7 linked regions of the Macaca mulatta genome follow. The protein of the gene in region 1 purifies or fractionates together with the protein of each later gene. This does not show direct contact. Links are inferred from orthologs where the notes say so. Each region holds a gene or a part of one and is shown in the gene's direction. Other genes may lie near its edges. The genes, in order: HDAC3, RUNX1, XPO1, STAT3, CCND1, ATXN3 and WDR5.

Region 1 (4,223 bases):
GGCTGTGGTTCCGACATGAGGCCCTGGGGGGCGAGCGCGGGCCAGGGCGCCTCCTGGGTTTAGGAGGCTGCAGCTGGGAATGGGGGAGGGGTAGGAATGCAGTTCTCAGGATCTGAAACAAGCACGTCTAAGACGTTCGGCTAAGGTCCGGCTCCACCCCCTACCCAACCAGGGAGCTGTCCGGGCCAGGGGTGCTGTTTCGTCAATACGGCCCAAGGCAAGAGGTCAGCGGCTACGCAAGCTCTCTACCACGACCCTGGTCCCGCTTCCCCGACGCCCCGAGCGTTCCCCTTTCCAGCTCGTTCGCGCTTCCGTCCCTCCCAAGGACACTGCAGCACGAGATGGGACGGAATTCTTAGGCGGCGGGAGCAGAAATCGTGCCTGAGTCAGCGCCCGCACCTCCTCCGCGCCGGCCTGAGCCAGGCCTCTGCAGCCCCCTCCTCTCAGTACTCCCGCACCCCTCTCCCTTTTTGGTTTCTCCCACCCTGACCACCTGGCCCACCCGGTACCGGTGATTTGGTTCTGGTTCCGGCTTCTGCTCAGGTTCCGGCTCCAGGGGCGTCCTAGTGCGGCTCGGGGCCCCCGACGCCCTTCCGGCGCTCATCCCTTGATTCCTCCCCTCCCCCTTCGCCGCCTCACCGGCCCCGGGCTGTGGCTGCGGATACCCGCGCCGTGGCAGGCGGGGGGAGGGAAGGACAGAGAAGGATGCGGGCTGACTGAGAGCGGCGGCAGGCTCTGGGCAACTCCGGCCCTGGGTCAGGGAGATCGCCTCCGCAGCCGCCCTGGCTTCCCAAATGCCTTCGCCCGTCGCGGGCCCAGGACCAGGAGGCGGAGCGCAGGTGTGCGGGGCGGAGAGCGTGAGCTCTGCGCGCGCGTGACTGCGCCTGGCCCCCCCGGGGCAATGTGTGGCGCCGAGTCTAGGTCCGGGTAGGGGACAGGAGGTCCGGCGTGGGTGTTGTCCACTGGTCTATCCGCTACGCCTGGCGCAGCTCCTGCCCTCAGATGCCCCGACCAAGCGGAGAGTCAGGAATCTTCCCCGAGGGCTGGGGGAAGCCGGCTTTCCGCACCTTTGAGGGACGGCGTGGCGGGATCTTCGGAGCTTCCTAGAGAAGTGACCACGGCCTGCGCCCGGTTTGGGGCAAGCGGCTGGATGGGATGGCTCAGCTTCCCGAGGATCTGACCCCCGGCCGGAGAGAAATGGCCCTTGCATCCTAGGAGCGATGCTACCAGTTCCCCGCCCAACCCGGGACGCTCAAAGCCGCAGCTCCCGGGAGAGCGGAGCCAGGCGAGGGGCGGAGCTCCCCCGGGGGCGTGGCCTGGGTGTGGCTGGAGGCGGGACCGCAACGCCCAGTTCCGCAGAGGCAGGCTACGTGCTTGCGCAGCACGCACGGCTGGGGCGGGGTTGGCGGCGGGTGGCGGGTGGCGGGCCGCGGGCGGCGGGCGGCGGGCGGCGGAGGCGCGGGGCCTGCTCCCGCCGGCACCATGGCCAAGACCGTGGCCTATTTCTACGACCCCGACGTGGGCAACTTCCACTACGGTGAGGAAACAGGGCTATGCATGAGGGTTGGGACGCGGAGGTTTTGAGGCGGGGGTTGCAACTCCAGGGGTGAGAGCTGACGAACTCTTTTCTCCCCACCCCCAGGAGCTGGACACCCTATGAAGCCCCATCGCTTGGCATTGACCCATAGCCTGGTCCTGCATTACGGTCTCTATAAGAAGATGATCGTGAGTTTCGCCGCCTCGGCCGGGGGTTGGGGGGGGGTGGGGCGAGCTGTGGCGGAAGGGATAGGTGGGCTGGACTGAGTGCATCAAGTGCGACCAGCCCCTAGAGTAGCGGGGAGCTGGATAGAAGACACCGGAGTATCTTGAAAGTGCCGGGTGTTGGAGGTGGCGTCCTCTGCTTAATGGAAAGTACTTTCTCAGCTCAGGTCGGCCACCCTCTGACTGTAGGCACCCTAGCCCTTGGCCTAGGGTTAAGGTGATGTGGGGGCTGGTTTGAAGACAGAAGGAGTGTTCCTCCTCTGCATTTTAGAGTGTGGATAGGGCCTTGGCCTCAGGAATTAGGTTTAGGGGAGCGGATATCACTGTATCAGGGTGTAAGGTTTACCCTCAGTTCCCACTCCTCTTTTGCCACCTTTTTTTTACCTCCAAGGAGCTGGGGCTCCAGGGTGGGACGATACTACCGTGTTTCTAAATGTGTATGTGCGTGTGGAAGAGAGGAGATATCTTAGGTATTCCTTTTTCAGCCCGGAATACCTCTACATGGTTCTACTTAATCGCTATCCAGTTTTTCATCTCCCAGACATACACATGCTGTCTTCCCAGCTTGGAATTTATGGCTGTGATATGGCATAGTAACAGTTAAGCCAGGCCAGGTGTAGTGGCCCATGCCTGTAATCCCAGCACTTTGGGAGGCTGAAATGGGAGGATCGCTTGAGGCCAGGAGTTGGAGACCAGCTTGGGCCACAGTGGGACCCACATCTCTACAAAAATAAAAAATAAAAAAAGTAGCCATGTGTGGTGGGTGTGCCTGTAGTCCCAACTACTTGGGAGGCTGAGGCGAGAGGATGGCTTGGGCCCAGGAGTTTGAAGTTACAGTGAGCTATGATCAGCAGCCTGAGTTGACAGGGAGGACCTTGTCTCAAAAGAAAAAATAAGACAAAACAGCTAAGCCCAGGCTTTATGTGTTGCTAGGGAAGCTAGTGAACAATATGAATGAATGTTCATTGCTTGTGCCCAGGCACAGACAAATAGATTGGTCATAGAAAAGACTGAGGTGATGTTAGTGCAGGAATCTTTATCCCTTGAGATTGTTTGCCTATATGTACCTGTGTGCATTTTCTGGGAGAAAATTTGTCCAGTTTTCAAAGAGATGTGACACATCCCCCCGACCTTCCAAAGATAGTAAACTTCTGATTTTAATTAGAAAGTTGACATATATGCCATATATTTGACTCCAGAAAGAAGAATCTGGAGGAAAGAGGACAGAATCAGAGCTTGGGGGAGGAGATGAGCGTGGAGAGAACTGGGAATAGGAGATCCAAGGAACAGGGCAGGTGGATCAGGGCTCAAAGTTGAGAAGGTACAATAGGCTGAGCTGGAGGTGGAAAGGAAAAGAAATGGTCTTCAGGGGGCTCATTCGTAATAACTCACCTGGTTAATTGGAGTCTCTCTATTGACTTAAGGATTGTGGGATGAGGGGAATGCTATATTTGGCTTCATATAGTCTCCAGGGCTGGGTTCAGTATGGGTGGTCTGAGCCTGTGGAGTGGGGCTGACCCTGGCTAGGTTCATCTTGTGTCTCCATCCCGAGGTCTTCAAGCCATACCAGGCCTCCCAGCATGACATGTGCCGCTTCCACTCCGAGGACTACATTGACTTCCTGCAGAGAGTCAGCCCCACCAATATGCAAGGCTTCACCAAGAGTCTTAATGCCTTCAACGTAGGCGATGACTGGTGAGGGAGGACTGGGACTTTTGATGTCTAATAGTTTAATGCCAAGCCCTTCAGTGAGGTCTTTTGGCAGCAGTGGGAAGATCTCAAGGGGGGCCTACTTGTCAATGAATCATAATTCACTTACTTGTTTATTCAATAAATATTTACTGGTCACTTGTTCTAGGCCAGGCCCTGTGCTAAGTGCTGGGAATGCAGTGATGAACAAAACCAAAATTTTAATACTGTATTTTTGCTAAGTCTTATGAAGAGGAGGTATATGACAGATTATGAGAGTATATATGTGGAGAATTGTTTAGCTTGGTGTAGTGGCTGGTCGGTGGGGCCTTCCTAGAGGAAGTAAAGATTGAGCTGAGATCTGAAAAAAGAGTAGAAGTAGTGAGATGAAAGGTGGTTGAAGGGTGAGGGGAGGAGTATAGCAGGCAGTAGGGACAAGTGCTAAGGGTCCGTGGTAGGATTGAGTATGACTCATTTGAGGAACAGAAAAAAGGCCAAGTGCAGAATATGAAGAGGAGGTGAACTGAATTGAGGCTAAAGAAATAGGGCCTTTTTAAAGTAAACAGCTCTATTATGAATTAGGGTTTTTACTCCTAGAGTAGAGGGAAGCTATCAAAGTTTTTTAAAAAGTCCTGATCATAAGAGGGCTATGGGCAGTTAAGAAAACAAAAAAACAACAAAGGAGTGGTTTGATATCGTTAGGTTTACATTGAGCTGGTATCATCCATAGAAGAGTCAGGATTAGACCCTGTGGGGAAAGGAGTGGACAACAA
Region 2 (4,288 bases), on another chromosome or scaffold:
AAGCGGTCTGTTGAGTTTCAATTCCTGCTTTAGTCAAAACAGGAGTAAGTAAAAATTGTGCCTGTTCCTTTTGAAAGGCTTCTGCCATGGAAGCTGCTATCATTGTGTGTCTTTGTGTGTGTGAGATTAAGTGGATGAAGGAAAACCGAGGGAGTGTTGTGGGAGTTCGGCTTTTCTGAAGTCCTGTGCTGGCTACTGCAGCTTAGAATCCAGGACTGGCATTTACAACCCATCATCACACAGGTTCTCTTGACCCTGTGTGTCAAAATTTCAAGTGCACAGAGTGCTATGGCGGAGGTAGGCAGAGCAGAGCAGAATGAATAAGGTAGTTAATTAGGAAAGTAAGTCTTTCTTCATCTTGGAACTACAAAACAAAATGACGTTTTATTTGTCAGCAAGTAAAGCCAGTGGGGCCTGAAAATGAACTATGTGTGGCCACAGTGGTTTGCCCACTTACAAAATTATCCCATTTTTAGCATCTTCAAACAGGCATGCCTTTCTAAGGTAGAGGACGCGCTATATAATATTCATTAGTCAGCCCCAGGAGAAGCCTCTTCTCCTGGTTCCCCTTCTATTGTGAGATCCTCATGTGCACAAAGTGTAGTTTTACCTACAGGTGTAAATTAGCCTATTCATTTGAATTGAACTAGAGAAAGGCAATGCAGGGAGCCTTCCCAAGTGACAACACAAATAAACAGCTGCAGATAACCACTGCTTTGTCCCAAATACAGAAATTCTCTTTGCTTTGTTTTCCCTTAGCTTCCTAATTTGCGTGTGTGTGTGTGTGTGTGTGTGTGTGTGTGTGTGTGTTAAGAGTGTACTATGATTTTATCTCTTTACTGAAAGAGATACATACTAAAGTTGTCCATTTAGGGGGAATAAAACCCCATAATTTTAGTGTCATTAAAATAGTCTTTTAATTTCAAAAGTAAAATTCTTTTCCTTTCCCGGGCTTTAAAATACCTGCGAGTTGCCAGCCCGTTGTAGGGGTCAGACTCTCACAAAAATATTTCTTTTTATTTATTTTTCCCTTTTATAGTTTCACTTATGCCATGATAGACTTTACCAAGCACTTAACTCTCCCGGAGCTGATGCCTAGCATTTTAAATGATGGGATCCACATCCTGTCGGAGCAGCGGCTTGATGCCAGCGTTGAATTACTATTGAATAAGCAGCAATGAAATCTTTATCAAAATAATCAGTAGTTCCAAAAACCACAAATAACAACAGGAGCCGAGTTGTACTAAATCAGCAAAGACCATTGAGATATAATAAGTGACTGAGTCACTTTTTTCTACATCCCCCCTCTTGCAAAGTCTACTCGGCTATTTTCTTGCACAGCCTGGGGGAGGGCAGGTGGAGGGAAGGAAGGGCATTGCTCAGAAAGGAAAAAAAAAAAATTGACATCACTGAAGTCACGTGATCGGCAAGAACCAATTGAGATGGGCTGTGGAAAGGGGAACAGTTAAATTTGTAATTTGGGTTGTGTGAAAACTTCTTTGGGCCTCATAAACAACCACAGAACCACAAGTTGGGTAGCCTGGCAGTGTCAGAAGTCTGAACCCAGCACAGTGGTCAGCAGGCAGGACGAATCACACTGAATGCAAACCACAGGGTTTCGCAGCGTGGTAAGCATCACCAACCCACAGCCAAGGCGGCGCTGGCTTTTTTTTTTTTTTTTTTAATCTTTAACAATTTGAATATTTGTTTTTACAAAGGTGCATTTTTTAATAGGGCTTGGGGAGTCCCAGAGGTATCCAGCAGGGGGGAAAAGAAAGAGAAATGTAGGGCTAGAAGGGTGAGGGTGAAACAGTGACCTGTCTTGGTTTTCGCTCCGAAGGTAAAAGAAATCATTGAGTCCCCCGCCTTCAGAAGAGGGTGCATTTTCAGGAGGAAGCGATGGCTTCAGACAGCATATTTGAGTCATTTCCTTCATACCCACAGTGCTTCATGAGAGGTGAGTACATGCTGGTCTTGTAATACCTCCTTTTGCTCAGCTTTGCCTGTAACGAAATGGCAGCCTGCTTCACCTCGGTGCAGAGATACCTCGGTGCCTGCCGGGTCCCTGTCTGGTTTGTGGGAGGAATTCAAACTGAGGCATATGATTACAAGGCTATTGGATTACTTACTCATCAGATGGAAGCTCTTCAGAAATGTTTTAATAAATACTTAGTTATGCTGTTGGAGTGTTCAGTCGGTGCGTGAGAACTTTGTCAAGTGTGAGTAAGTTGTGCTGGTCTTGTTTAAAGGCTTAGAGATTACGAAGCTTGCACGAAGCTCCCTGGGTTTTATTTTGCTGTCCCTTGCCCAGAATGACTGTGTCTGAGTTATCCTGAACTCGGCATGCTGTGTGGCCCAGAATGCAGCCTGCCCTGGGGCTTAGCAGGCACATGCACAGAGCCAGCCAGGAGGGCTGGTGCCAGTGTGGGGCAGGAGGTGGAGGCTCTCAGATAGCCTTGCACCAGCCTGGGGACTTCAGGGCCAAAGTGGCAAGGCAGCTGTCTCTACAAGGCAGAGAGTACAAGAGCCTGACAGACTCGCTTAGGTGAAAATCACCAGCACGGGGCTGTGCTGTGTTTTTCCTTGTCGCCTCAATGCAAACAGACGGCCAGCATCTTTCCAGAGAGAAAGGAAGCAGACTGTGGCATACCGAGGTCTCTCTGGAAAACGGCAATGAAGAAGGTTCCCAAGTTAAGCATTCTCACAGCTGAAGTCGTTAGATTACAGGCTTCTGAATAGGAACAGCCAGGGTGGAAAACCTGTCTCCATTTTTGAAACCAGCCTCTTGAAATGCACAAAGCTGCGGTTGAGCTGTGAGTGTGTGAGTGTGTGTGTGCCTGTGTGTCTTGTGTATCTTTCGTGGTAAAAGAGGGCTGTGCTTAAACAAACAAAAATAATAACATAAAATGTCACAAAGGCATTGCCGTGTGCGTCGGGGCACGCACTCTGACCAGTGCCTGCAAAGTGTTTCTTGATGGTTTGGCAAAGCCGAGATGGAGTGGGCTGGGATAGGAGAATAATTAATTTTCTGGCTACAGACTCTCTTGAGCACCCAAATAGTATCTGTGACTCATTATTTATTCATACAGCTAAGTGAGCAGGGGAATGCAGAGGGCTTGCCAGTCACTTTATCACAGCAAATGCTATTGTGAATGCACAGGGCTCTATGTTTCCGGGTCCCTGATATTAAAAAACTTGACGAGAGAGAGAGAGAGAGAGAGAGGGTGTGTGTGTGTGTGTGTGTGTGTGTGTGTGTGTGTGTGTGTGTGTGTGTTGGGGATGGCAAGAGAGAAGTTAAAGGGAAAGAGAAGAAAGCAAGTCATTAACCAGCTCAAGTTTCAAATTAAAGAGTTTTCAAGTGCTTCTTTACTGGCAGCAGAGGGAATTTTAGTGAAGTTGAATCATGCAGACATGCATTAGTCACTAGTCTTGCAGCGTCGTTCAGTTGGTAACACAGACACACCGGCCACTGGTAAAGAGCTGCAAACGGCTCCCTGGCTGCATTTCCTCTGGGCTGCTAACAAGCAGAGGAAGCAATATTTGTTGAATAACAGAAAGAAAGATCTTCCTGACTTTACTCCACTTTCAATACCCCCTCGGAACGTGTATTGTTTCCTATTTTATCAACTCAGGAAGGCAGATTCAGGAAATTTTTAAGCATTCCATTGAGCAATAGGTTGGATTTCAGTGTGCAGTGCTGGCCCCTGGGCTCTCCTTACTGGCCAACAGCAAAGATGGTGAGGGACACGGTGACCCGTGCAGACATCAGGAAATAGCAGGAGTGCCGCTGTCTCCCGGACAAGCCCAGGGCTCCTGTGCCCAGTGGACACTCCGCTGACCTGCCCTTGATTAGGAACGAAGGTCGGTTATTTTTCACGGGGGCAGTGTAGGGAGGGCCTGAGCTCACACCAAGACTCAAAAGGGCTAATCTGGAAAGGTTTTTCCACTCCTTCCTTTCAGTGAAAGGAACTCAGGGTTCTTTAGAATCTCTAATTTGATAATATAATATTGAGATTTGCTATCAGAGGGCCGGGTGAAATCTTGGCAATTTCCTGGTGAATTTCATCCAAGTGATCCATCAACAGAAAGGTTTAAATTGTCCAGGTTAGCTGTCCACATCATTCACCGGAGCCAGAGAGGTGGCAAAATATCATTTCTTTTGGTACCGTTTGGTCATCGTCTTAGAGCCTGATGCTAGAAGAACCACCATCCCTGCCAACAAATGGCTCTCCCCCAGAGTTCTCAGCCTGTTGCCATAGCTGGGCCACTCGCAGTGGTCAATGCGGTC
Region 3 (3,500 bases), on another chromosome or scaffold:
AAACATGGTATTCATTGGTAAAACTCTTTGCTCATTATTTGCATTTGAAACAATTTTTTTTTCGTAGTTTATCTTACTCATCTGGATTATGTAGATACAGAAAGAATAATGACAGAGAAGCTTCACAATCAAGTGAATGGTACAGAGTGGTCGTGGAAAAATTTGAATACATTGTGTTGGGCAATAGGCTCCATTAGTGGAGCAATGCATGAAGAGGATGAAAAACGATTTCTTGTTACTGTTATAAAGGTATGCAAGGGATAGGTATGAATTAGAATTGCTAAATAAGTATTATGTTGTTACAATAAATGATATAAATCTGTCTTATTTACAGGATCTATTAGGATTATGTGAACAGAAAAGAGGCAAAGATAATAAAGCTATTATTGCATCAAATATCATGTACATAGTAGGTCAATATCCACGATTTTTGAGAGCTCACTGGAAATTTTTGAAGACTGTAGTTAACAAGCTGTTCGAATTCATGCATGGTAAATCTCTTTCTTTACTATATTTTGTTTTTATTTTTATTGAACAAAATAAATGAATGTTTTTGTCTTGTTAGAGACCCATGATGGAGTCCAGGACATGGCTTGTGATACTTTCATTAAAATAGCCCAAAAATGCCGTAGGCATTTCGTTCAGGTTCAGGTTGGAGAAGTGATGCCATTTATTGATGAAATTTTGAACAACATTAACACTATTATTTGTGATCTTCAGCCTCAACAGGTATGTTAAGCACTGAGCATATGTTATTTTTAGAAAGTAACACCTGTATCAATCTGTATGTATCAGTGGAAATAGGAAGGCAACTGTTGGATCCAATAGAAGTGTTTCTGATTAAACTTTCTTTTTTCCTTGAGAACAGGGTATTACTCTGTTGCCCAGGCTCAAGTGCAATGGCACGATTACGACTCACTGCAGCCTTGAACTCCCAGGCTCAGGTGATCTTCCCACCTCAGCCTCGTGGGTAGCTGGGACTACAGGCGTGCACCGCCTTCACACCCAGCTAGCCTTTTTCTCCCCCCTTGGTAGAGATGGGGTTTTGCCAAGGCTTGTCTTGAACTCCTAGCTTCAAGCGATACGCTAGCCTCAGCCTCCCAAAATTATTTTATATGTGTGAGCCACGATGCCCGGCCTGATTAAATTTTCATAGTGAGACAGATTCTTGTTTTTGTTTTTGGGGGGGTGTGTGTGTGTGTGTGTGTGACGGAGTCTCCCTCTATCATAGAGTCCAGGCTGGAGTGCAGTGGCACAATCTCTGCTCACTGCAGCCTCCTGGGGTTAAGTGATTCTCTTCCTCAGTGGCTGAGATTAACAGGTGCGTGCCACCACGCCCAGTTGACTTTTGCCTTTTTAGTAGAGACGGGGTTTCTCCATGTTGGTCAGGCTGGTCTCAAACTCCTGACCTTGTGATCCGCCCGCCTCGGCCTCCCAAAGTATTGGGATTACAGGCATGAGCCACCACCATGCCTGGTTTGGGTTTTGTTTGTTTGTTTGTTTGTTTTGTTTTGAGATGGAGTCTACCTCTGTCACCCAGGTTGGAGTGCTGTGGTATAATCTCGGCTCACTGCAACCTCTGCCTCCCAGGTTCAAGCAATTCAAGCCTCCCAAGTAACTGGAATTATAGGCACTTGCCACCATGCCTGGCTAATTTCTTTGTATTTGTAGAAGAGATGGTGTTTCACCACGTTGGTCAGGCTGGTCTGCAACTCCTGAACTCAAGTGATTGGCCTGCCTCAGCTTCTCAAAGTACTGGGATTACAGGAGTGATCCCCACCGCACCTGGGCCAAAATCAGTTTCAAGATATTTGAGTTGCTTGTGTGTGAATTGCTTGTGTGTGGTTTTCCTTATTAGGGTGTATAAGAACATAAAAGTTAAAATGTCTGCTTTTTAAAATAGGTTCATACGTTTTATGAAGCTGTGGGGTACATGATTGGTGCACAAACAGATCAAACAGTACAAGAACACTTGATAGAAAAGTACATGTTACTCCCTAATCAAGTGTGGGATAGTATAATCCAGCAGGCAACCAAAGTAAGTATTCTACTTTTTCTTAAAGTTTTCATGGGATTTAAGAAGACTGTGTTCCTTACAAATATATTGAATTCAAGCCTTTAAACATGTATGTGTGATCCGTAAGTGCTTTTATGTGTGGCTTTGTACATTTTATTATCTGGGCCAGGCGTGGTGGCTCACGCCTGTAATCCTAGCACTTTGGGAGGCTGAGGCGGGCGGATCACCTGAGGCCAGAAGTTCGAGATCAGCCTAGCCAGCATGGCAAAACCCCATCTCTACTAAAAATACAGAAATTAGCTGGGCTTGGTGGCACATGCCTGTAATCCCAGCTACTCAGGAGGCTGAGGCAGGAGAATCACTTGAACCCAAGAGGCAGAGGTTGCAGTGAGCCGAGATCGAGCCTCTGTACTCTAGCCTAGTCGACAGAGCAAGACTCCATCTCAAAAAAAAACCTGAAAATCTGGGCCGGGCGCGGTGGCTCACGCCTGTAATCCCAGCACTTTGGGAGGCCGAGTCAGGCAGATCACAAGGTCAGGAGCTCCAGACCATCCTGGCTAACACAGTGAAACTCCGTCTCTACTAAAAGTACAAAAATTAGCTGGGCGTGGCACCGGGCACCTGTAAGTCCCAGCTGTGCTCAGGAGGCTGAGACAGAATGGCGTGAACCCAGGAGGCAGAGCTTGCAGTGAGCCAAGATCACGCCACTGCACTCCAGCCTGGGCGAATAAACGAGACTCCGTCTCAAAAAATATTTTACTTCATTCTTAGGTAGATATGGACAAAAAGGCTTTTGTGTTCGTTTTTACCATTTGGGATTATAAATATGATTTAGGGTAAGGGAAGTGTAATGGCTTTTGTTTCAGTAATTATGTGGATAATTTTTTTTTTTTTTTTGAGACGGAGTTTCACTCTTGGTGCCCAGGCTGTAGTGCAATGGCATGATCTCAGCTCGCTGCAGCCTCTGCCTCCCAGGCTCAAGGAATTCTCCTGCCTCAGCCTTCCAAGTAGCTGGGATTACAAACAAGCGCCACCATGCCTGGCTGATTTTGTATTTTTAGTAGAGAGAGGGTTTCTACATGTTGGTCAGGCTGGTCTTGAACTCCCGACCTCAGGGTGATGTGCCTGACTCAGCCTCCCAAAGTGCTGGGATTATAGGTGTGAGCCACCTCACCTGGCCATTATGTGGATAATTCTTACATGATAAATGGAATTTGCTTTTTTTTCTCCAAGAATGTGGATATACTGAAAGATCCTGAAACAGTCAAGCAGCTTGGTAGCATTTTGAAGACAAATGTGAGAGCCTGCAAAGCTGTTGGACACCCCTTTGTAATTCAGCTTGGAAGAATTTATTTAGATATGCTTAATGTATACAAGTGCCTCAGTGAAAATATTTCTGCAGCTATCCAAGCTAATGGTAGGTGATTCTGATTTCTTATACGATGCAGTATAAACACTTCTCTTCTACTGCCTCAAGTCAAAC
Region 4 (4,019 bases), on another chromosome or scaffold:
TTTACCTTTCTGAACGGTCTGCATTTTCTAAACAGGAACATGTATTAGTTTCATTGAAAAAAAAAATGTCAGGGGTTATCTGAGCAGTGAGATAATGGGTCCTTTATAGATTTTTGTCTTTATACCGGTTCGTATTAAACAAACACAAATATTAATAACATATTTTTAAAGACCCTAAAAAAATAAAAATTAAAAACCCTGATAGTATCAGCACATACACAGAAATCACTCCATTATGCAAAATTCATCCTCTATTATGAAAGGCAAAATGTCTACATTTCCTATGAACCACTGGCTTCAATTCAGCAAAACTTGCATACCAAGTAGGCAAGGTGGAAACGAAAAAGGCGGAACATTTCATGTATTTCAATTCAGACGCATAAAAATGTCAAGCCCTACACGTATCAACTTTCGTATACACCGTCTTCTGCATTCGCCTGTACCGGCCAATGGGCTAGCTGCTCGGAGTTTGATGCTTGAAGTGATGGAACGGAGGACGGGGTTAAATCTACTATTTCTCCCCACGCACTCTAGTATTTACTCTATTTCCACGTCATGTTTCCGGGTGTGTGTGTCCCTGTTCACGCAGAAACTGAAGTTCAAAGCAGGCGGAGTCACTCATGTTCTTTTTGTTGTCCCCAGAACCCAATTCAGGTGTTGGGTCCCCAGAGGATCTGGAGATACCTGGGGACTGTCTAACTGGCTGATTCCCACGTGGTAAGAGGCTCTCAATCTCGCCACCACGTGGTGCCAAGGGCCGGGAAAAGGGAGAGCGGACAGGAGGGAGCTGTATCAGGGGCATTTAAAGTGCCTTGACGTCACGCACTGCCAGGAACTCAGCTGAGTTTTCAGCAGGACATTCCGGTCATCTTCCCTCCCTCCCCCCGGGCTTCTGTGCCCAAGTCCTCGGCTCTTCCCTCGCTGTGGCGGAGGGAGGAGCACCGAACTGTCGGAACAGCCAGCACAGGGGCGTATCAGTCTTCTCTTGGCTCCGCCCTTTCTCCTAGCTGCTCTCTTCATTGGTCAGTGGGCGGGGCTTTGTCGGTACCGCACACGCACTGGGACCTCTGGGTGGCCGAGCGAAATGGCCGTTCATGAATTATGCATGACGGCGTGCCCCGGCCAGGCTGGGGCTGGGCGGGGATTGGCTGAAGGGGCTGTAATTCAGCGGTTTCCGGAGCTGCGGCGGCGTAGACCGGGAGGGGGAGCCGGGGGTTCCGACGTAGCAGCCGAGGGAACAAGCCCCAACCGGATCCTGGACAGGCACCCCGGCTCGGCGCTGTCTCTCCCCCTCGGCTCGGATAAGCCCTCCGGCCTGAGGGAGCCCCGTCGCCCGCCCCCGGCGCACGCGCAGCCCCGGCCTCTCGGCCTCTGCTGGAGAAACAGGTGAAGGGGGTGCAGGGTGGGGCCGTCGGGGAGGCCTGGGGACCTGGGGGCGCCGCCGCGGTTGGGGGCCTCTGGGACCTTGGGGATTTTGTGATGGACGCTGCAGTGGGGCGGGGAGAGATGAGGAGACGCGGAGGGTCGCCCTGAGGGAAGACTCTTCGGGATGACAGGAGCGGGCCTCGGAAGGGACTCGGGGCGCTGGAGGGAAGTTTCGTTCTTCGGAGAAACAGTGAGAACGCGCCCGAGGGGGCACCGTGGGGCGAGGGCGCACTCGGCTGCGGCGGCAGGAGTGAGGGACAGTCCCCCGATTTCCTGCTCCCTGGAGCCCTGGGGACGTTCCGGCCGCCGGAGCGACTGTCACGCCGGCGGGGATCACCGGCGCGGGTGGGGGTCGGAAAGCGCCTCCTCCCCGCCTGGCCGGCGGCTCCCTCTGAGCCACTTCCTCCGCTTGCCCTGTTCCCGCTTCTTCAGGAGCCAGCTGTGCCCTTCTGGAGGCAGGAATAGGTGTGTCTGTCCCCTGCAGCCTCACGGGCTGGCTGGTCGCGGGTAGGCTTTATTGCATAAGAATCAAGTTTCCTGTAGGGAAATTGACAGACCGGTACTCTTTCTAAATTCCCTCCCATCTTTTTCTAGGTTAAACTATGCTCCCCTCACGCCCCCGCCATGTAAAAAAGAGGGGAAAAAAAGACAAAATCCCCGTCAACCCGTCAAGCCAGCTCTAGAGAGAGAAATAAATCTCTTGGCAATGTTCTTTTCCAAATACCTGGTAAAGTCGGCCAGAAGATAAATAATTGAGCCATTGCGTTTACTGGATTGTGGTGTTGCTTAATTGCATAGGACGGAATGAACCAATCGAGAGTGGGAGTTCTGTGTCTCAGAGCCAAGATCTTGGGTAAATGCAGAGGAGAGGGAAACAAAGACAGGCTGGCCTTGACAAAACCATGTGTGCTAAGTTTACCTGCATTTAGGGGGGTGTGGTTGCACTGAAGTTAACAAGATTCAAACCGTCGCCCAAGTTGGTATTTCCATGTTTGATACACATCACCCTGTGCCATATCAGGTCGTTGTAAGTGTGGTGACAAAATCAGTGGTTAGTCATTGTTTTTTGTTAAAAATGTGTATAGTGTGTACCTGCTGGTCTTACTGTATGTGCAACTAAAGGTTTACGTAGTCTGTGCATGGGTTGTAAATTTTTGGCTGGCTGTGCTGATAAAGCATTGGGCTTGAATAAAGCAAAGCAGAAAATCATCTCAATCTTTTATATGTGGATTTAGACTGTGCTATGACTTGATTCAGCCAGTTTTCTATTTTATTTTATATTAAATATGTCTGTGTTCTCTGAGTCAGCACATTTATTTCCTTATTACATGTTCCAGACGGGAGTGCTAGCCCAGTTTTTGTTCAGTTTGCACAGTGGGATGGGGAAACAAGTCTGGAATTAAAAAAAAAAAATGTTTTAGAGGTTGGAGCCTTGATTTTAGTCTCTGTATTAGCACATCCATCACAAAGAACCATTAGTAAATTCATGAATCTTTTGTTTTTTATGTAGTTCATTTGGGAAGAATAATCACTTAAAAATATCCACAGTGCCAGGCATGGTGGTGCACACCTCTGATCCCAGTTACTTGAAAGCTGAGGCCGGAGGATTCCTTGAGTCCAGGAGTTGAGTCTGGTCTGGGCAACATGGTGAGAGGCCAGGAATTGGGTCTAGAGTCTAGTCTAGGCAACATAATGAGAACCCGTCTCTAAGAAAGAAAGGAAAGGAAAAGAGGAAGAAAGGAAAGAAAAAGAAATACCCACAGCACAGTTATGAATTGACCCACAAAGGACTTGTGAGGTAGGTAGTTCACATAACAATTCCTCTAATATTGTAGATAAGAAAATTGAGGCCAAAGGATCAAGACACTTGCCCAAGGCGGCAGAGTGCCATAGTGGTGGAATTTGTGCCGCCTTCTGTATATTTTGTGAAAAGTATCAGTGAAATTCTTTTTTTTTTTTTTTTTGAGACGGAGTCTTGCTCTGTTGCCTAGGCTGGAGTGCAGTGGCGCAATCTTGGCTCACTGTAACCTCTGCCTCCTGGGTTCAAGTGATTCTCCTGCCTCAGCCTCCCAAGTAGCTGGGACTACAGTTGCGCACCACCACGCCCGGCTAATTTTTGTATTTTTAGTAGAGACCAGGGTTTTACCATATTGGCTAGGCTGGTCTTGAACTCCTGACCTCGTGAGCCGCCCGCCTCTGTCTCCCGAAGTGCTAGGATTACAGGTGTGAGCCACCGCACCCAGTATCAGTGAAATTCTAACATATATCTGAACAGTAAAATACCACCAACAGGCTGAAAGACTTTATGGGAGGTAAATATTCAATAAACACGTGAAAAAAGAAATACAAATGGAGCTTGCTTAGATTATTTTTCTACCTAATTGCTATGTCTAACTTGGGAAGTGAGGAACTGTTTTTGGTCAGCATAATTTACCATCAGAATTCAGCTATTTACTAATGAAAAGAAATACTAATCGTGGTTTGTTTTAGATTAAGGACAGTCATGACCTAAATGTCATTTAAACCAGAGTGCATTGTGGCTTGATCAGTGGTCATTTCTGTCTCTAGAAAGTTGCTTTAACCACCCTGCCTCT
Region 5 (3,500 bases), on another chromosome or scaffold:
AACTTTGTTTTTGTGAATAAGTGGTAACATTCACAAGGCTCAAGATGCTGAAAGGATGAGAGGGTAGTGATGTCCTTGTCACCTGTCCTGTCTTCCCGTGGCTTTCTCTCTGCTTGGTTATGTTTGAGTCAACAGTGGGGCTGACATTCCTGGAGGGTCCCTGGGCCGGGCTCTTGCTCTCCTAGTACCCAGGGATGGCGGGAGGCTGGGGAGGGCCTGGAGAGTGGTACCCACCAGGCCGGGCCGCCTGCTCAGAGCCAGCACGTGGGGATGCCCAGATCACGGGTCCCCTGCTCACAGCCCCCTTCCCTCTCTCCTGCTGCAGATGTGAAGTTCATTTCCAATCCACCCTCCATGGTGGCAGCAGGGAGCGTGGTGGCCGCAGTGCAAGGCCTGAACCTGGGGAGCCCCAACAACTTCCTGTCCTACTACCGCCTCACACGCTTCCTCTCCAGAGTGATCAAGTGTGACCCGGTGAGTGAGGGCAGTGTCCCAGGGAGCCTCGCCGGGGCTCACAGGCAGGAGACGCCTAGTGCCACGGAAATGCCAAGGCTGGTGCAAGGGTGACAAGGTTGGGGTTGGGGCTGGGGCTGGGCCCCTCGGACCCCAAGCCACAGACTGACAGGGCACCAGCTTCTTCCACTGCTCCTAGAACTCACTGACCGGTCGGGAGGTCCTCACAGGCTGCTCATGTCCCCTGGGGCTTCCAGGAGCTGTAGAGTGTTTCTGGGCGAAGCGTCTAGGACGACGGCCCCAGGCGGCCCCAGCCAATGGTCCGTGTGGTGATAGTGTGTGGGGTTAGGCCCAGGCGAGCTTTGTTTGGGCCACAATGTGCGTGGCCAATAAATAGATGCTTGAAAAGGGCTCCTGTGAGGTCCGAGACGCCGGACAACGGGCGGATAGAGACGGCCTTGTTTACGGCTCTTTGAGAGGCTGCTGCCGTTAAACCCTGGCATGACTGTGTCTTTCTTCTTCAAAATGCCATTGTTTTATTCCCGATTCTTTTCTTAAAGAAAGAATTAAAATGACAATCAAAAGGGTTTGTGGCATTTACCAAATTAGACCAGAGAGGTGGCCGGGTCAGCCGCCGGCCCTGCGGTGTGTGAGGGAGTGACCGCCTGACCCCAGCTTGGGGCCGGCTGGGCCTGCGAGGCCCGTTGTGGCTCTGGCCTGGGCCGCCTCTTGGGGGTCTGCCCTCGAGCCTCCCGGGGGCTCCGCACGGGTCTCAGCAGATGCTATCTAGCGTCCACCTGCCTGTCCCCTGCCTAGCGGTGCCTCTAGGCAGCTAGCGGCTGCCCAGCCCATGTGTGTCTCGGAAGAGGAAGAAGCATTTTTGCCATGGGATACTGGAGGTGGCAGGGGCGCCCTCCCCTCCCTTCTGTGCTCTCGGCCGTGGCCTCCCTTGCACCCTGCCCCGTGTTATCCTGTGGGGGTGGTAAGGTGTCCTCACCCGCTGTAGGGTGGAGGCCAGCAGCCCACAGTTCTCTCAGGAAAATGGTTCAGAAACGCCGTCAAGGCCTCCAGAAGCCCAGCAAAGGGAAAGCCCCTCCGTCAAAATGAAACTCGCATCTGCACTTTCATTTCCAACTCCACGCCCTGAGTGGAAACCGCCTCCCCGCCAGGGGTATCTGCCCGGGATGTTGCTGTCTTTGGGCAGTTGTGGGAAGTTGGGCACTGGCCCTTATTTGAGTAGAGACCATCTGAACTAGATGGGAGGCACACGCTCACAGCTGACACACGGGGTGAAGTTACCTGAGGCGGAGTCCACTCTGCCTGATTAGCTGAGCCCAGACTCAGAAAAACCGTTCACAGCAGAGGCCCCCTGCACTTTCTAGGGCGTGTTCTAGAATTTTCTTTGGTGGGTGGAATGTCCATCTGTGTGAATCGGGTGCACAGGGCCACACACCAGTGACTTTTCGTGGAGGAGCGTGCTGCCTCCTTGGAGCTTCTGGCTGTGGGAGAACAGCTCTGTCCACCAGGGTAGCCTTGCAGGCAGCTGTGGGGCCAGAGGAATGAGGGAAATGGAGTCCAGCTGCATGCGTGACCCTGGAGCGGGTCATGGTGAGGGGGGCGGACGGCAGGTGAAGAGTCCGTGGGTGGAGCTGCCAGGCCCCTGGAGCTGGGAACTGAGGGTGGCTGGTGTTTTAGGTTGAACATCAGGAGTCTTGGATCTCACCCCAGGTCTCTGGCCTCAGTTTCCCCATCTGTACAGTGGGACTGTTTGTGCTGCCAGCCCAGCCGGCTTCATTTGCCATGATGAGAATTTATCTGAAAGGCGGGAGAGGAAAGCCCTCCCTATAGTCACAGGACGCTAAAATGTTACGACCCCAGGGGTCCACTGAAAAGTCCTTCTGGCCTAGGTCATCGCCTGTCATGCCCTGCCTTTGTCCACCCCCATCTGGTTGGAAGTTCAGTGGCACCTGTTGGGGCTGTGGCCCAGCCCTGCTCCTTGTGGAAAGTCTGTTTCCTGGGCTGCCTAGAGACTCGGCTTGAAGCCCTACTGTGGCTTCCTGGCAGTTGGGACACACACAGCCCCAACACATGAAGCCAGTTCTCTATCCAGAAGCCCCCGCACAGGAGATAGCCGCTTCGGGCTGCCTGGGACTTGCCCGTGCTGGAGCTGAGGAGAGGCCCCCGGCTGGGCGCGGGGTTCCGGATTCCATGGCTGCTCTTTCCCACTGACGGTGTGGTGCGGCCGCCGCCAAGGGGGTCTGGAGACCCGGAGGGCGGAGGTGCAGGACTTCCAGGAGCTTCTGTTGCACTCCACCCGAGGGCGAGCACCTCTGTGGCCGCAGCGGGTGGATGCATGCTGTGCCAGGCTGATGGGTGGCCCCGGGGCACAGGCCTGAGCGGGAGAGGATGGAGGTGAGGGATCAAGGGTCCAGGTCCCCCTGGGCACCCAGCATTCATCCTCAGTCATGCACGGCCTGAGACTTTGACAGCCGTTGATCATGGAAGGCCAGGTTCACCTGGAGGGCTGCCACACGGAGAGGCTGTCTGAAAAGGCAGGACTGAAAGGGCCTGTCTGTCCAGATCAGATGGCACTGAATTCCCCAGGGAGCTGGCAGGGCCAGTGGGAACAGAAGGTCAAGGAGCTGTTGAGCTTGGGGATGGGCAGAGCGGGTGCAGGGTGGGCGGGCAAGCATCTGCTGTCTTGTGGCTCCGGAGGCCAGGTGGGAGGTGGAAGCGTTGGGTCCTGAGTGTCTCACTGACAGGTGATGGCAGCTCCCACGTCTCGCTCAGGTTCAGAGGCGGCGGCATGGGTCAAGGGACAGTTTTTTACTTAGTCTTGCTCTTATAGAGGCCTTCCAGGTCGTGGCACCTGGGAGGGGGCCCTCACCGCAGGCCCCTTCTAAGGACCCCCTCTTCCCACCTCTCCCCACTCCGTCTCTCTCAGGACTGCCTCCGGGCCTGCCAGGAGCAGATCGAAGCCCTGCTGGAGTCAAGCCTGCGCCAGGCCCAGCAGAACATGGACCCCAAGGCCGCCGAGGAGGAGGAAG
Region 6 (4,162 bases), on another chromosome or scaffold:
GACCAGCCTGGCCAACATGGTACAAACTCTTCTCTACTAAGCACACAAAAATAGTTGGATGTCGTGATGCGTGCCAGTAATCCCAGCTGCTTGGGAGGCTGAGGCAAGAGAATCACTTGAACTCAGGAAGTGGAGGTTGCAGTAAGCGGGGAGACTGTGCCACTGCACTCCAGCCTGGGGGACAGAGAGAGGTCCATCTCAAAAAAAAAAAAAAAAAAAAAAAAAAGTACACCTTAATCTGGTTTCAAGGTGCAAGATCTGCACCTATCCTTCCATTCAAGCTTCATCAAACCGCTGCTACCTCCCCGTCTCCCACACAATTTATGAGACTTCTAAGTTCCCTCTAAAGGGTCCGAACACCTACAGTGGTAACAAGTCACTTGGATTTGAATCCTGGCAAGGCAACTTACCATCTGACCTTGGACATTGTGCTGTTCTTAACCTCTCCGTGCCTCGGTTTCCTCATGTGTATGAATAGCATCAACACCTACATCAAAGTTTGCTGTATTAAATTTGATAATATATGCAAAGCATTTAGAAAAGGGCCTAGCTCATAGAAAGCCTTATATAAATATTAACTATCACTTTTTTCCTTTTTTGGGGGCTTGGGGACGGAGTTTCGCTTTTGTTGTCCAGGCTAGAGTGCAATGGCACCATCTCGGCTCACTGCAACCTCCGCCTCCCGGGTTCAAGCTATTCTCCTGCCTCAGCCTCCCAAGTACCTGGGATTAGAGGTATGCGCCACCACGCCCAGCTAATTTTGCATTTTTAGTAGAGACGGGGTTTCTCCATGTTGGTCAGGCTGATCTCAAACTCTCGACCTCAGTTGATTCGCCCGCCTCGGCCTCCCAAAGTGCTGGGATTACAGGCATGAGGTACCGCGTCCGGCCTAGCTATCATTTTTATACAAGTGCTAGGTTTTGGGAGAATGTAATGATGGCTTTTTCTTACTAAATTTTCAGTGGAGGAGGAGGAGAAAGAAAGTAAATAGTTATATGAACACAGTAGAAAGTACAAAGTGGAAAACAAAAAGAGTATCGAACCCAGGTGAGTGGTCCAAACCTCCCCCCAGAAACCTAAGAACCCATAGAAATGGGTGGGAAGCGGAGAAGATCCTCCAGACAGCAGGTGGCGATGTAGCATCCCCCAGAAGGCCCTCTAACAGAAACTAGGAGGACGCGCTACCAAGGTCACGTGTCCCCGGCGTTCACTCGCTCTTCGCTTCACGTGACTCGCATCCTCGCGGGTGATTGGCCTGCGTGCGGCGCGTGGGCGGGGGACCAGGGCGGGGCGGGGTGGGCGGAGGGGAGGGACAGGGGGCGGAGCTGGAGGGGGTGGTTCGGTGTGGGGGCCGTTGGCTCCAGACAAATAAACATGGAGTCCATCTTCCACGAGAAAGTGAGTGTCCGCGTGCGGTGGGGAGCTGTCTGCCGCGCGGTGGCGGGCGTGGAGCGCGGCATCACAGCCTCCCGGAGGGCTGGGTGGGGTCCGAGTCGCCCCCATGCCGATCTCGCCGGGCGAGGGGCGACGCCGCAACCCCCCGCCTCTTCGGCTCGGGGAGGGGAGCATCACCTACGCTCCTACTTCCCCCGCGGCCCCCGCCCTGGGAGCCGGGAGGGAGTATGGGCGGGGCCGGGGGCGTCTCGGGACACGGGAGCGCGGTGGCGCCCAGTGGATTTGCTTCTTCCTTTCTAAGTCACTTTCCATAGCTTTTCGGAGGATTCCTTCACCCCTCCCCAATCCTTCCCTCTCCCTAGGGTCTAGCTACAGTCACCTCTGGGACACCTCCCTCGACCCCTCCTACCCTACTCCTGGCAGAATTAACTTTTCTTTCTCCAGACTGCTCAATTCTATATTGGAGTCTTCCCTACATTTAGATCTTTGAGGTCTTGTTCATGTTTTTTCCCCTGCACCAGGTCCGCGAGCCTCCCGAGGGAGGAGACCTTGGCTCGCCCACTGTAGGGCCTGACACTTAGGAAGTGAAGTAGGAAACCCGTTGTGCCCCTAAACAGGGAAGTCGTCACGAGTTTTTATTACGGGATGTTTGGGTTTGGTTTCTTTTGGTACTCTCATCTTTCCGGAGCAGGCAGCCAGCTTTGTTTTTAGGTATTAGGAGTGGACTGGAATGATTTTGTTGTGGTCTGCCTAGCCTGCTGTCACTTTAACTCTTCAGTGACCATGCACTTGAAGATACTGTTTGTGACATGTGGAGAAACTCCTCGTTTCTCACATGCTATTATCCATCCATTTGTATGTGAGTGAAGCCTTCCCCAGGACAACTTTGGCACATGATATCTTGTTTCGTAATAGTATCATGTTTGGAAAGAGTTGCTGGTAAGGCTATTATTTAATAGGAGGAGCAAAGGGTTTTTGTTTTATTAAATGCTTATAAATGATCGTTTATCCCAGACATTTAAAATTCACACACACGGCCGGACGCGGTGGCTCACGCCTGTAATCCCAGCACTTTGGGAGGCCGAGGCGGGCGGATCACAAGGTCAGGAGATCGAGACCATGGTGAAACCCCGTCTCTACTAAAAAAAATACAAAAAATGAGCCGGGCGCGGTGGCGGGCGCCTGTAGTTCCAGCTACTCGGGAGGCTGAGGCAGGAGAATGGCGTGAACCCGGGAGGCGGAGCTTGCAGTGAGCCAGGATAGCGCCACTGCACTCCAGCTTGGGCGACAGAGCGAGACTCCGTCTCAAAAAAAATAAAATAAAATAAAATAAAATAAAATAAAATTCACACACACACAACAAATAAAGCAAAGACAAAAGAATACATTTACCAGATGTAAATCTGTAGTATAAATCTTTTTTTTAATTTTTATTTTAAAGATGGCATCTCATTCTGTCACCCAGGCAGGTGTGCAGTGGAGAGATCATGGCTCACTGCAGCCTTGACTCCCTAGGCACAAGCGATCCTCCCTCCTCCGCCTCCAGAGTAGCTGGGACTACAGGTGTATATCGCCAGGGCCAGCTAATGTTTTTGGAGAGACAGGGGTCTCGCTGTGTTGCCCAGGCTGGTCTAGAACTCCTGGACTCAGGTGATTCTCCCACCTCAGCCTCTCGAAGTGCTGTGATTACAGGCGTGAGCCACTGTGCCTGGAACAAATTGTTAAGTACAATGCTTTTCATTGTAGAAAACATCTCAGAAACTTTTGAAATAGGCAGATTTACAGTGGGGGAGGAAGGCCTCAGTCATATAGTTGTCACTGATTTTTTGACTTGATTGACATGATTTATAAATCATAGACAATAGAGATTTAGTTGCTTGGCTGAGTAAAGTGTGTGAAAAATACACATGTACTTTCTTAAAAACATTTTTTTTTTGAGATCGAGTTTTGCTCTTGTCACCCAGGCTAGAGTGCAATGGCGCGATCCTGGCTCACTGCAACCTCTGCCTCCCTGTTCAAGCTATTCTCCTGCCTCAGTCTCGCTAGTAGCTGAGATTACAGGTGCCCACCACCACGCCCAGCTAATTTTTGTATTTTTAGTAGAGACAGGGTTTCACCCTGTTGGCCAGGCTGGTCTCCAACTCCTGACCTCAGGCGATCCACTCGCCTCGGCCTCCCAAAGTGCTGGGATTACAGGCGTGAGCCACTGCACCCGGCCATATTTTTGTTATTAATTTTCAAAGGCTTTGGTGTGGGACCAGATTTCAACATGGAAGGCCTTAAACATGTTCCACACTACTTCCTGAGAATCAGACAAGATTTTTAACAATATTGATTGTTACCTAGTTGGGACGCATTTCTACTGAACCATGGGATCAATAAAAGCTGGGTGCTAGCCTAGCGAAAATCTACTTACCCGAAAGAAGTCCCTCTTAGTCCGGGTGCGGTGGCTCACACCAGCGCTTTGGGAGGCCCAGGTGGGTGGATCACAAGGTCAGGAGTTTGAGACCAGCCTGGCCAACATGGTGAAACCACGTCTCTACTAAAAATACAAAAAATTAGCCAGGTGTGGTGGCAGGTGCCTGTAATCCCAGGTACTCAGGAGGCTGAGGCAGGAGAATAGCTTGAACCCAAGAGGCAGAGGTTGCAGTGAGCTGAGACTGCACCACTTCACTCCAGCCTGGGCAACAAAGCGAGACTCTGTCTAAAAAAAGAAAAGAAAAGAAAAAAAAAAGAGTCCCTCTGAATTATCAGCATGTGTATAGGC
Region 7 (3,500 bases), on another chromosome or scaffold:
ACAAGCAGATGGGTTGTGTGGGCATGAATGCCCCTTGCGTCGATAAATTCTTAAAAGGAGAATTTCCGGCCGGGCGTGGTGGCTCAAGCCTGTAATCCCAGCACTTTGGGAGGCCGAGATGGGCGGATCACGAGGTCAGGAGATCGAGACCATCCTGGCTAACACGGTGAAACCCCATCTCTACTAAAAAATACAAAAAACTGGCCGGGCGCGGTGGCTCACGCCTGTAATCCCAGCACTTTGGGAGGCCGAGGCGGGCGGATCACAAGGTCAGGAGATCGAGACCACGGTGAAACCCCGTCTCTACTAAAAATTACAAAAAATTAGCCGGGCGCGGTTGTGGGCGCCTGTAGTCCCAGCTACTCGGGAGGCTGAGGCAGGAGAATGGCGTGAACCCGGGAGGCGGAGCTTGCAGTGAGCCGAGATCGCGCCACTGCACTCCAGCCTGGGCTGGGCGACAGAGCGAGACTCCGTCTCAAAAAAAAAAAAAAAAACAAAAAAAAAACTAGCCGGGCGAGGTGGTGGGCTCCTGTAGTCCCAGCTACTTGGGAGGCTGAGGCAGGAGAATGGTCTAAACCCGGGAGGCGGAGCTTGCAGCGAGCTGAGATCCGGCCACTGCACCCCAGCCTGGGCGACAGAGCAAGACTCTGTCTCAAAAAAAAAAAAAAAAAAAAAAAAAGGAGGATTTCCAAGGTGACTTCCCCAGCTCTTTTTGCTGCTGGTGGAGTTGTCCCTCCGTTGAGTTGGGCATTCGCCAACCTCATCCCTCCCCTGTGAGGCAGGTGATTCCTGAGAATGGCCACTGCCCGGTGCCCGAGGAGGCCTGTATTCCTTAAGTCCTGGTGTCAAGGGGCCCCCGGGGCCATGGGCTTGAGGTGTCAAGAACCTGCTCACGGCTGGTGTGCGTGGCTAGGCCACCCTTCGGGGCACCAGGGGGTGGTGGTGCTGGCACTGGTGGTGGTGGCCGACCTCACTCAGATGTCGCACGTGGGGGACGGGGAGCGGGTCCCACCTCCTGTCCCTGCCCAGCTGTCAGCGCCCGCCCCGTGTCACCTGTCTGTTTTTATTGCAGATGACGACAACCCCCCAGTGTCTTTCGTGAAGTTCTCCCCGAACGGCAAATACATCCTGGCCGCCACGCTGGACAAGTGAGTACTGCGTGGGACCGTGGGGGCGGGCGTGTGGCCTCCCCAGCCAGAGACGCCTGCTCGCCAGCGTGAGCCTTCGGAGAGCATGTCGTGGGCTTGGCACGGGACCCAGGCTCCTGCTGGAGCTTTGGCTTCTGGGCAGTGGCCTGTTAGGTCAGAGGGCAGGCCCCTGCCCATCCCTTCCCGAGGCTGAACCTCAGGTCCGACTAAAGGAGGATTTAGGGTCGGTTTTCTGGTTGAGTGACTGTGGCCGGGGCAGGCCTAGCCATCCCGCATGAAGGAGTAGGTGGTCCGGGGTCCTCCAAGGCCCTTTCTGGTTCTGACCTCTGAGGACCTTGGTTTTACCTCTCACAAAGCCGCTGCCCTCCCGGACTGTTCTCTAAGCTCCAGCTTTCCCACGCATGCAGCCTCAGCCTGTGGGTCCAAGTCTGGGCCCCGATCCTCTGAGGGCTGTGTGATTGGGTGGTAAAACCTGTTCTGGATGTTTCCAGAACCAAGAGGACTTCCTCACCCTTTTGAGGATGACCTGAGTCAGGGACGATAACACCCGTCAGCTTCCTGTTAAAGTCTCTCTTGGAACTGCAAATACTTGGGGCTCTCACACTGTGGCTCCCCAACGCCAAGTCACTGGACTCTGAGCCTGAGGGGCCCTCACCCTGACGGGGAAGGGGGTTGCATCCCCGCTGGCTTTTGCACCTGGCGCTGATGGTGGCTGTGACGTAGTGGCTGCAGAGTTGGGCGTGGGGACAGGACGCCTCCGGCCGTGCCGCCTCACGCCTCTCTCTGTCTTGCAGCACTCTGAAGCTCTGGGACTACAGCAAGGGCAAGGTGAGCTCCCGCAGGCTCGGGCCCCCGTTGTGCGCCGTCCCTGGGTCATGGCCTCTGGTGGGGACAGAGTGGCCCCGCTGATGACAAAGGAGAGGAGCTCAGAGAACCATTTCCACGGGTTTGGTGCAGATTCCTGAAAAACCTGGGTATTCGTAGGGTGGCAGTCTGCAAGTTAAATCTTCGATTGTGTGGGTTTTGTACTTGTACTTTTCAGAAGTAAGTGTAGTCAGTGGTGAAACGCCTTGCTTAGAACGTAGAATTATACAAAATCAAGGGGATCCATGACTCTGTGACCAGCCTGTCCCCTCCTGTTTCAGTGCCTGAAGACGTACACTGGCCACAAGAATGAGAAATACTGCATATTTGCTAATTTCTCTGTTACTGGCGGGAAGGTGAGTCTTATGACCTTGAAGCGTCTCACGCGTTCCCAGCTTACTCTCCCGAGAGGTCACCCCTGTTACAGGTTGCTTTACACTCAGACGCTTTTCTGTGCCCACACAATGAATTTCCATTTCAACCAAAGTGCGCTGCGCCAGGCACCGGGGACACCTTGTCCCGTCTGTTTCTAGGTCCAGCTCCTTAATGGAGGCAGGCAGCCTGTTGCCGGGCTCTGCTGGCAGTGCTTGGCCGATGCCTTCCGAGGGGGTTGGGACCCCACAGGTGGAGCTCCGCGGCTCAGGGTGTCCCTGGGTGGGTGCGCTGGCTCCGAGGCTGTCCACCCGCCCCAGCAGGGAGGGGAGTGTTTTCCCGCCCACCCACACTGGTCTCGATGCTGCTTAGACCGGGGTGACTCTTGGGCAGCATGTGTATGACACACAGACTCAGGAAAGGGGGACCTGAGAAGCATCTTCCAGCCTGGAAGCCTCTCCTGGGGCAAGCAGGTGCCTGGCTTCTTTGAGCGAGGCCCGTGCTGGGGTAGAGCAGGCGGGGCTGTCCGCACTGGGGGAGGAAGCCTCAGGCCTGGCTGGAGGGCAGGCACGGCTTTTTGGTTGAGTTCAGCCAGGCAGCCACCAGCGGGGTGGGCGTGGGGCGGGGCATAACTGGAGATTCTGCCCCTTCCACATACACGAGCGCTGACCTGCTTTTCCTTGCCCTGTTTTCCCTGCTTGTTGTTACTTAGTGGATTGTGTCTGGCTCAGAGGATAACCTTGTTTACATCTGGAACCTTCAGACGAAAGAGATTGTACAGAAACTACAAGGCCACACAGGTGAGGGCCTGTGCTCCCGCAGCCACGGCTGCCTGTTCATGTGAGGACAGTTCCTGTAGGTGAAGCGTGGTCTGCCCGTAGGGTGCCGTCGTCTTCCCCTTCCCTCCTCAGCCCTCCGCTGGCCCCATTGAGGAGCCGCTGCTAAGAGCTCTTGCCCAAGGCATGGAGCTGGTCACTGTGCTGCCGACTCGGACCCAGGGCTCCTGTCTTGAACCCTGTTTCTTCCTGTTCTGCCGGGTATTCTGGTCCGGAAGGTGTGTGTGGCTGTGGGACTTTAGGTGGGTGTAGCGTGTCCCACTTCACGGCGAGCTCCGTT

Evidence for each region.
Region 2: the proteins of HDAC3 (region 1) and RUNX1 purify together in Homo sapiens (affinity purification with western blotting; 3 studies listed by BioGRID). This does not show direct contact. The link is inferred for Macaca mulatta from reciprocal best matches to the Homo sapiens genes HDAC3 and RUNX1.
Region 3: the proteins of HDAC3 (region 1) and XPO1 purify together in Homo sapiens (affinity purification with western blotting; 3 studies listed by BioGRID, with this or other methods). This does not show direct contact. The link is inferred for Macaca mulatta from reciprocal best matches to the Homo sapiens genes HDAC3 and XPO1.
Region 4: the proteins of HDAC3 (region 1) and STAT3 purify together in Homo sapiens (affinity purification with western blotting; 4 studies listed by BioGRID). This does not show direct contact. The link is inferred for Macaca mulatta from reciprocal best matches to the Homo sapiens genes HDAC3 and STAT3.
Region 5: the proteins of HDAC3 (region 1) and CCND1 purify together in Homo sapiens (affinity purification with western blotting; 5 studies listed by BioGRID and IntAct, with this or other methods). This does not show direct contact. The link is inferred for Macaca mulatta from reciprocal best matches to the Homo sapiens genes HDAC3 and CCND1.
Region 6: the proteins of HDAC3 (region 1) and ATXN3 purify together in Homo sapiens (affinity purification with western blotting; 3 studies listed by BioGRID). This does not show direct contact. The link is inferred for Macaca mulatta from reciprocal best matches to the Homo sapiens genes HDAC3 and ATXN3.
Region 7: the proteins of HDAC3 (region 1) and WDR5 purify together in Homo sapiens (affinity purification with western blotting; 3 studies listed by BioGRID). This does not show direct contact. The link is inferred for Macaca mulatta from reciprocal best matches to the Homo sapiens genes HDAC3 and WDR5.

What each region holds. Positions count from the first base shown.
Region 1 is NC_133411.1:150,478,537-150,482,759, reverse strand, and holds the start of HDAC3 (histone deacetylase 3), read left to right. Parts: upstream 1-1,423; 5' UTR 1,424-1,482; coding exon 1,483-1,537; intron 1,538-1,642; coding exon 1,643-1,725; intron 1,726-3,313; coding exon 3,314-3,456; intron 3,457-4,223. Other genes in the region: RELL2 (RELT-like protein 2), read right to left, coding at 1-17. UniProt on the Homo sapiens protein: Histone deacetylase that catalyzes the deacetylation of lysine residues on the N-terminal part of the core histones (H2A, H2B, H3 and H4), and some other non-histone substrates.
Region 2 is NC_133408.1:12,359,897-12,364,184, forward strand, and holds the start of RUNX1 (runt-related transcription factor 1), read left to right. Parts: upstream 1-1,488; 5' UTR 1,489-1,628; intron 1,629-1,840; 5' UTR 1,841-1,899; coding exon 1,900-1,957; intron 1,958-4,288.
Region 3 is NC_133418.1:63,242,455-63,245,954, forward strand, and holds part of XPO1 (exportin-1), read left to right. Parts: intron 1-67; coding exon 68-249; intron 250-334; coding exon 335-491; intron 492-565; coding exon 566-729; intron 730-1,903; coding exon 1,904-2,038; intron 2,039-3,250; coding exon 3,251-3,434; intron 3,435-3,500. UniProt on the Homo sapiens protein: Mediates the nuclear export of cellular proteins (cargos) bearing a leucine-rich nuclear export signal (NES) and of RNAs.
Region 4 is NC_133421.1:66,739,584-66,743,602, reverse strand, and holds the start of STAT3 (signal transducer and activator of transcription 3), read left to right. Parts: upstream 1-1,219; 5' UTR 1,220-1,386; exon of another isoform or gene 1,387-4,019. UniProt on the Homo sapiens protein: Signal transducer and transcription activator that mediates cellular responses to interleukins, KITLG/SCF, LEP and other growth factors. Once activated, recruits coactivators, such as NCOA1 or MED1, to the promoter region of the target gene.
Region 5 is NC_133419.1:5,007,858-5,011,357, reverse strand, and holds part of CCND1 (G1/S-specific cyclin-D1), read left to right. Parts: intron 1-300; coding exon of another isoform or gene 301-325; coding exon 326-474; intron 475-3,397; coding exon 3,398-3,500. UniProt on the Homo sapiens protein: Regulatory component of the cyclin D1-CDK4 (DC) complex that phosphorylates and inhibits members of the retinoblastoma (RB) protein family including RB1 and regulates the cell-cycle during G(1)/S transition.
Region 6 is NC_133412.1:165,351,482-165,355,643, reverse strand, and holds the start of ATXN3 (ataxin-3), read left to right. Parts: upstream 1-1,362; 5' UTR 1,363-1,374; coding exon 1,375-1,398; intron 1,399-4,162. UniProt on the Homo sapiens protein: Deubiquitinating enzyme involved in protein homeostasis maintenance, transcription, cytoskeleton regulation, myogenesis and degradation of misfolded chaperone substrates.
Region 7 is NC_133420.1:8,356,143-8,359,642, reverse strand, and holds part of WDR5 (WD repeat-containing protein 5), read left to right. Parts: intron 1-1,072; coding exon 1,073-1,148; intron 1,149-1,942; coding exon 1,943-1,976; intron 1,977-2,293; coding exon 2,294-2,368; intron 2,369-3,096; coding exon 3,097-3,184; intron 3,185-3,500.